2 linked regions of the Mus musculus genome follow. The protein of the gene in region 2 interacts with the protein of the main gene of each other region in a biochemical or structural test. Links are inferred from orthologs where the notes say so. Each region holds a gene or a part of one and is shown on either strand. Other genes may lie near its edges.

Region 1 (3,644 bases), on a different chromosome or scaffold from region 2:
CCCCCAGCCCCACCCTTCCCCAGTCCCCAGAGAGCCTGTACTGTCCTCCATAGATTAATCTAACCCCATATATTACAATAAACTGCATCTGCCTCTCCCCAAACCCCGGCCCCCCCGACCCAACAGCCCTCATTCCCCCATTCTTTTGTGGCAGTACCACATCCTGTCAGCAGCCAGCTGTCCTTGCACTGGCTTGGGGCTGAGGGGCTGCAGAGAGTGGGGGTGCTGCTACTCCAAGTAGATATCTTCTGTAGGACAGGTATACTCCACAAACTGCTTGTAGAACTGCTGAAATGCACGCCTGGGAAGTGGGGGACATGGGGGTGACCAGGAGCCTCATCCCAGGCTCCACAAGGGAGATCCGGGGCTGGGGACAGCTTAACTGTCCTCTGGGCAGTTACTGCCCAAAGAGAAAGGGCCAAGTGGGGAAGAGGACCAGTGGCTAATCAACAAGGAGTGGTCCAGAGCCTGGGCTTCTTGGGACCTCCCAGCCTCTTCCAGGATTGGGGCTTCCAGAACTAGAGGGCAGGGGTGATGCTGACAACTGAGCATGAAAACAGCACGTGCACACACACGTACACACACACACACGTACACACGTACCCCACAGACTCCGCCAGGGCTTTGGTGGAATCTTCAGACACAAAGACATGGCAGGCAAACCGGTGGTCAGCAGGGTGCTTAGTGATAAACCCAAAGTACCTGTGGAAGGCAGGCATCTGTGAGATAAGATTCTGAGCCCTACTCACCCACCATGTCTGAAGATGTCCAATGGGACTCTCATGACTGCTCCTTGTACTCACTTGTTATTCTTTGGATGGTATCCACAGAAAGAGATGTTCTTTAGCTGGAAGAAGTGGCTACATTTATTTCCCTACAGGAGTGATGGGAGAAGCAAGAAGTCAGCTGGTAGGAAGTAGGCAGGAGAGACAATGCGGTGTCTGGGGTTAGGCTCACACAGCAGGCAAGAGACCAAGGGGGAGGAGATGCCCATAGGCAAGAAGGCTGAGGCTTGAAGGAAGTCACCTTGGCCTCCAGAGCATCATCAGCTTTGACGCCTATCTTGACACCCCTGACACTGATCTCAAGGACACAGCTGGAGGGCGGGTTAAAGTGCACGGTGAGCCGGCGGGTGGTGGCGATCTGTGGAGGGATGGGCTTCTGTTGGAAGCTGTCTCACTGTGTCACAGCACAGCCTCCAGATCCCTGTATCCTTTTCCCCAATAGTGTGGGCTGGCTGAGAATAGGCTCCCCCACCCCCCAGGAAGAAGCATGGATCCAAACGTGGGTACCTTTTGCATAGCAGCACAGAGGACATCATTGCCCTTGTGATAAGGAACCTGGACAGACCCCAGGAACTTCACCCGGAACTGGTCAATCCAGTCGCTGTTTTTGGCAAGGGCTGGAAAGCAAGCATACAAGGAGGAGTCTAAGAGAGCCATCAGCAAGGGGCTCTGAGCTGAGCCAAGGAGAGAGGAGCATGAAGAGTGACTCAGGCAGCAGACGACGATGCCACCATCCCCACAGGCCCTGACTTGGCGGGGCACTAACTGTGAAGTGGAACTGAAATGACCTCTCCTCTTCTCCCTAAGACCTGGGGTGTGTGTTCACTGGCAGCGAGTTGGCAGGCAGATGGCAGGGGTGGGTAAGACCAGACCGGGGGAAGCGTACTACCTGCCATGTGCTCAGGCTCCTTGGTGACCTCAATGGCATAGTAGGCAGGGAAGACCCCGCGGGCTCCGGTGCGCATGTTATAGGCCTCATACCAATAGTCTTCTGCCTGCAGCTCCACCAGCAGGGGGTCATCCACTTCCAGCTCAAGTTCATCTTCATGCCGAGGCACAAACCTGTCCCCAAGGGCACGGGAGGTGCTGCAGCCAGGCCCAGTCTGGGGTCCTGAGCTGCTGACGTTTGCAGATTACCCATGTGCCCGTCACAGTGCCGACTCTGAAGGAACACGTGACACTCCTATCCAAAAACCCAGGGGCCAGGGAGAAAGGGAGCCTAGGCCTTAAGAAATTTAAATGAAAGTGAGCAGCTTGCCTAGGGTACATAGGTTCTATGTAGGGTGGGCATCTCTCCGACCCCTACCCAGGTTAGGTGTATAGTCCTAGCACCTATAGTTCACGGCACCTCAGCACTTTGTCACTAAGCTGAGTTCCTACAAGAGGGTATGGTCCCCCAGCAGCTGAGGGGATGCCAGTGATGAGCTGGCAGAGGCAAGGAAGGGGGCAGCCCTCACCTGAATATAGCCCGATGGGTTTGCTCATGCTCCTCCCCATTGATGACGCAGGAGAACAGCCCAAAGGACTCAGCACCTGTGGGAAGGCAATAGTTTGGAGGAGGTGGCTCAGAGCAGGTAGAAAGCTCTGTCTTGCTGTCAGGCAGACTATGTGGTGTGTGAGGTCCTGTTCAGGTTCCCACACTGCTCCCCCCGTTCACCGACTCACTGGAGGAACGAGAGCGGCCACTCATGAAGACATTCAGAAACTTCTTAGAGAAGTGGACATCAGGCTCATCCGGGGTGGAGTCCTCTGAGAGGCAGGTGGGAGGCCGGGGCTGAGGGGCCTCCTCATACTCCTCACCAATGGCTGACTCGTAGGGCGAGGAGGCAGAGGCACAGTTGTCATAGACAGTGGCAGAGTCGCTTTCGTCACTGTAATCTCCAAAGCACGGCCGCAGGCTCACCAACTCAAGCTGGGCATGTTCATCCACCACCAGTGTGTACTTGACCGAGTCGTAGGACAGTGCGCTGGTGTCCGAGCTCAGTGAGGCCCGTGGAGGCGGTGGTGGCTCCCCGAGGCTTCCCCGCCACCCTCCACCTGGTGGCTCAGCTCGCTCTGGGGATGACAGGCAGTCGAAGCCCTCATCCTCTTCACTGATGGAGGGGTGTGGCCGCCCCGCAGTTACAGAGTAAGCGGCAGGGTCTGGATCGGAGCTAACTGACATCCGGCTCTCCGTGGGTGGCATGAAGGTGGAGGTGGGTTCTGCAGGGTCTGGGGGCCTCTGCACTGGGGTCAGGTAGATCTCCTCAGTCGCCTCGAGCCGCACATCTGCCTGGTAGTGGATTCGGTCTCGATGGGAGTGGCCCCGGCCACCAGGCGCAGTGGCAGGGGGACCGCTTGGAGGTGCCATCTGGGTGGCTGCACTTCGGCGACAAGGGCTGTCGGTGGAAGTGCCGCGGTCCTGGGTGGGAACAGGACTGCCCTGGGGTGGCAGCTCATCACTCAGGCAGATGTGTTCATGTGGAGGCGTCTGTTCTCCTGGAGGACAGGCAGGTGGGTGCTGAGGGCAGAACCTCTGTCCAGATACCTGTCCCCTCCTCTTCCCAACTGTCCTCTGCAGCCAGCCACTGGCTTCCAGATGACCTCAGCCCAGGTGAGCCAGGTGAAGACTGCTGGGTCTCCAGCTTGGGGAGAGAGGCCTGACTTACCTGTCTTCAGAGGGGAGGATGATCGAGACACACGGTCCTGCCAACTGTGCTTTTTGCCTAAAGAGTTATTATTCAGCGTGTCCTATGCAGAGAACAAAAGGCTCTTATGAAGAAGCAGTAGTCAGCAGTGCCCGGCACAGGGAGGCCCTGGTCCTGCCCCCATCAGGCCATCCCTAGGCTGTTCCCACCCCATCTTGCCTTGCCAAAGGCC
Region 2 (4,357 bases):
AAATGTCCGTGCTGATGCCCCTAAGAATCTCTGCACTCTCCTGTCACGCAGGACCATGTCCACTACATTTCCTACTGTCCCCAGCCCATGCCCTCTGCTCCAGCAGACCCAGGTCCCGCTGTCTCCACATTGCTGACCTCTGCCTCTGAGCCTGCACTGTGGTCAGGCCCTGCCCAGACACCCACCCAACCAAGTACTTCACTAAGTGCTGCCTGTTTTGGACTGGCTTGAAGCCTGCCCACTTCAGGAAGCTGTCTGAACCTGTCACCAATTTTTCCTGGGCCTATGACAGGCAGCGAATGGGAGTCCGAGATAGTGAGAGATGGAGTCTCCCTTCATATTTGCATCCCTGGCCTGGGGGACCCCTGCTTGCTGGGCATCCTGGGTCAGGGCTTCTGAAGGTCCTTAAGCTGCTCTGGTCTCATTGTTCCCATTCTAGGGAGGCTGAAACTGAGGTTCTGAGGTGAAATAATCGGCCGGAGAACATGTAGGCAGGAAAGAGTGGGATGGAACAGCCTTAGTCTCTGAGCAGGGAGGAGGGTCTTCCCTGCTGAGATCTCTGTCCTGAAGGAGCTGCCTATGGGAGAGGGAGGGAAGCAACACCACGTTTGTAAATCTCGGAAGGGGAAGGCTGGAGGAGCAGCTTCCAGAAGACTTCCCTGAGGTGGTGACCACGGTAAAGCAGGGTGCTGAAGGGCCGCCTGAGAGAGCTCAGTTTTGAAAACTTGTCAAAACTTCAGCTGAAGACTGGGACTAGGGACTCCCAGGACAGAGGCAGAACTCTGCCAGGTTCCGGGGATTCCTGTTTTGGGGGTCACTGATAGGCCACGGGTATTCCCTGGACATCTAATACTCCTCTCAGGAAGGAGCTTGTGAGGCCAGCATCTCCCTAACTAGGCTCAGCTGAGCTAGGAGACGTGTGCACCTGGGCCTCGGCTGGGCCGTGCTCCGAGCCTCCCCGTGCCCATGCTTCATGCCCCTGGAAACTCACTGTTGTTGGACTTCAGGTCTCGGTGTATCACAGGCACCAGAGCCTCACAGTGCAGGTAGTGCATTCCTCGGGCAATCTGCACAGCCCAGTTGACCAGCACATGGGGGGGCACACGCCGACCAGCCAGGGCCCGGCTAAGAGGCCCACCAGCTGCATACTCCATCACCAGGCATAGGTTTGGCTCCTCCAGGCACACAGCTTTGAGGGCAATGATGTTGGGATGGGCCAGCATGGCAAAAAGCCGGGCCTCCTGTCGAACACTCTCAGCTGTTACACTGATGTCCTCATCAGGGTCCTGTCGGGCTGCCTTCACAGCCACCAGCTCCCCTCGCCAGCTGCCACGGTAGACCTTGCCGAAGCCACCGATGCCGATCACCTCCTCCAGTCGCAGCTCCTGGAAGCTGGCCACCTCACAGGGGGGTGGGCCTCCACCCCGAGATACATAGTTGGATGGAAAAATGCCCACCTGGCCACCCACCTGGCCCGCCCACCAGCCCTCATCTCCTGAGATGGCTGCATCCCTGGACAGCACCTCCACACGGTCGCCCTTCCTCAGGGCTAGTTCGTCCTGCCCATTGGGCTCATAGTCGAACAGGGCTGTCCAGACAGGATTGGCATAAGCTGCTGTTGCCTTCGGAGACCCCTCCGGCCGGACTCCACCGGTACCCCCGCCGCCCCCACTGCCACTGCCGTTCCATGACCCCAGCGGGCTCTTGAGGAAGAGGTTCTTCAAGGGCTCCATGGCAGGGAGCCGGCGTTGGAATGTGTGGGGGACCTTCTTCGGGTGCCCGTGGTATCCACCCCCGCTGGCTTGTGAGGCCCTAGAGCCGGAACCTGGGCATCCGGGCCCTGGCCCTCAGCCCCAGACCCACGCCTCTCTGGGGAGCCAGGAGTGTCGCCTCCCGGCCCCCCGCATCTCGGGCTTTTGGAGGAGGGCACCAAGGGCAGTGTGGTCAGGCTGGAGGGGTGGGGCCCACTGGCCTCCGGCGCCTCACCATGGCTGAATTGGAGCAGCAGAGTCCCTCAGTTCCGAAGTAGTCCTGGGAACCTGGCTTCAGCGCCCGCCTACCGTAAGGTGGGGCCTGCCAGGGTCAGCGCCCGGACTCTGGTTGTTGTCTCCAGGCACAAGAGGTAAGAGAAAGTCCCCAGTTGAGCCGAAGCTACCTCTTCTTGGGCTAGTGCCTTGGGCCCCGACAGCTCCGACCCCGGTCCCTTCTTCCTCCTCCCTTTGTACTTTGGCCCCGGGGGCGGGAGGCAGAGGTGGAGGGTGGAGTTTCACTTTTTTCCGCTCTTCTCCCTCCTGCAGGAAACAGCATCAGATGACGTGGGCGGGTTGCACCGCTCCCCTCCCGGAGGCTCCCGGCAGCTGTGCACGGGAGTTCCCGGGGAGGTTGGCCAAGAGAGGTAGAAGGCGGGCCAGGTAGTTCCTCCCGCCTCCCCCGCCCCCAAACACACCGGCACAACTCTAAGCCTTACGTTAGGTGCTCCTCTGCTCACGGTCGAAGTGGATCTCTGCAAAGACAGAGAAGAATCCTTGTGTCTGAATTCTCATCAGCCAAATCACCCTTGTGATTGCCTCAAAACCAAAATCTGGTCTTGGCTACGAAGTTGCAGAGCTCTTTAAGATTCGTTCTTTCCATATATGAAATAACAAGATACCCTGCTTTTCAGTGCTAGAGGGGGATGTGAACAGAGAAGTTTGGGACTTCAAAATCGGCTTACACTTGAAGCTCTTGGAACCATTTAAAATTATCTTCCTTTCACCCGAGAGGCAAAAACCTGAAACTGTCGTTCAGAACTTTGCCCGGGATTAGATTCAGAGTTGAAGGGCCTTCAACAACCTCTTCGTTAGTTCATCACTTGTCCTGTGTCTGTTACTTTAAGAAAGCCTATGTCATCCTGTTCGACTACTCAGGCCTGATCAGGATCACTCTCTGCTTCGGCTAAGCTCTGACCCGGAAGTAGAGGCGTAAGCCAAGCGACAACCATGATTTACGGTCTCGCACTAAGGAGAGGCGGCCCAAGTCGGGGGTGTGACCCGGTAACGCAAACTGGAAGTAGCCGTGAGGAGTCCCATTCTCCAGCTTTTCCCCGCCTCCTGTAACGCATTGGAAAAGCTTTGCGCCAGTCATCAAGTCGTTACCCAATGGCGACTCACCCGGCCGTCCCATATTTTGGTGGCTCTAGAATTTGACTGCGCGCGCGCCTAAGATACCTCTGCATCCCGTCACTTCGCTACTTCTCCGCGCTTGCGCACTTCTGCCGCCAGGTTTTCCTTTTCCGGGTCCCAACAGGTTCTAACGGGCGCATGCGCCAGTGCAGGCTGGCAGCTCGCGGCTCCTTCTTCCGGCCTCCCCTTTGCGCCGGCACCGGTAGAAGCGGGGCGAACGCAGAGCCCCAAGCGAGTGACCTGCGACCCCGGAAGTGGACCTCAGGGTCCCAAGGATTTCTCCGGTCCGGAGCCAAGGGACCTATCACTGGCACTCCGAGAGCACCTATTCCACGCCCACCTCTGGATGCCGCCGACGGGTGCCCAGCCCTTGCCCTGCGCCTGCTTTCAGGCTCGGCGCTTTACAACAGTTCTGGGCCACCGGAGGGGGCCCAGGCCCCGCCTCTGATGCAGTCCCACCCCAGTATCCCGGCCTGATCCGCTGACTGCCTGGGCCGGCCCCGCCCCCTGCCTGTGCCCTCACCCTACCAATCCCCTCCCCCGTCTGGGGGAGGCCATGGCGTGAAATCTAAGTCGGACCCCGGGACCCTCGGGCGCCAGCGGGGCATGGGCCGGGGGCCGCCCCCATGAGGGTCCCGGGAGGAGGGCGTGCGCAGCAGCGGCTGGGCCATGGGGTCTCAGGTGTTGCAGATCCTGCGCCAGGGGGTGTGGGCCTCGCTCACTGGGGGATGGTTCTTCGATCCGCATCAGAGCACCTTCTCCAACTGCTTCCATCTCTATGTCTGGATCTTCTTGCTCATCTTTCCCTTCTTGCTGTACATGGTGAGAGGCTGCCACCACCTGTAACTATGGCGAGAGGGAGTGTAGTCTGGAGGGATGGGCATCTTGAGTCCTGGGGCGTGGAGTGAAGCGAGTCACTGTAGAGTTCACTGTAGAGTTTACTTTGGTTTTATATAGAGGAAAGACCAAGTCTTTTCTGCATGGAGTGACCTTGAGCGCCTCATTTAATCTACCCGGTTAAACAGAGGGCTACCCCTAACAGGGCTCTTTGTACTGTTGCATGAAGGGGTGATGAAGTTTTGTAAACCGATGAATCCTAGTTCTTTACAGTGGTGGCAGGTACACCCTCAAGGGAGCAAGGGTTTTGTGAGAAAGGATCCAACTTAACTGTCATCTCCAGGTCCTGCCCCCCAGCC

The links. The genes of interacting proteins can lie anywhere in the genome.
Region 1: the proteins of Map3k11 (region 2) and Mapk8ip1 form a complex in vitro, tested with the Homo sapiens proteins (2 studies listed by BioGRID). The link is inferred for Mus musculus from reciprocal best matches to the Homo sapiens genes MAP3K11 and MAPK8IP1.

The regions. Positions count from the first base shown.
Region 1 is NC_000068.7:92,384,121-92,387,764, forward strand, and holds part of Mapk8ip1 (C-Jun-amino-terminal kinase-interacting protein 1), read right to left. Parts: intron 3,516-3,644; coding exon 3,434-3,515; intron 3,327-3,433; exon of another isoform or gene 3,264-3,326; coding exon 2,451-3,263; intron 2,319-2,450; coding exon 2,243-2,318; intron 1,848-2,242; coding exon 1,675-1,847; intron 1,403-1,674; coding exon 1,293-1,402; intron 1,144-1,292; coding exon 1,027-1,143; intron 875-1,026; coding exon 804-874; intron 703-803; coding exon 604-702; coding exon of another isoform or gene 519-603; exon of another isoform or gene 302-518; coding exon 229-301; 3' UTR 1-228. UniProt on the Homo sapiens protein: The JNK-interacting protein (JIP) group of scaffold proteins selectively mediates JNK signaling by aggregating specific components of the MAPK cascade to form a functional JNK signaling module. Required for JNK activation in response to excitotoxic stress.
Region 2 is NC_000085.6:5,687,623-5,691,979, reverse strand, and holds the start of Map3k11 (mitogen-activated protein kinase kinase kinase 11), read right to left. Parts: upstream 2,850-4,357; 5' UTR 2,714-2,849; exon of another isoform or gene 2,504-2,713; 5' UTR 2,468-2,503; exon of another isoform or gene 2,292-2,467; 5' UTR 1,734-2,291; coding exon 992-1,733; intron 1-991. Other genes in the region: Pcnx3 (pecanex-like protein 3), read left to right, coding at 3,831-3,983, 4,342-4,357. UniProt on the Homo sapiens protein: Activates the JUN N-terminal pathway. Required for serum-stimulated cell proliferation and for mitogen and cytokine activation of MAPK14 (p38), MAPK3 (ERK) and MAPK8 (JNK1) through phosphorylation and activation of MAP2K4/MKK4 and MAP2K7/MKK7.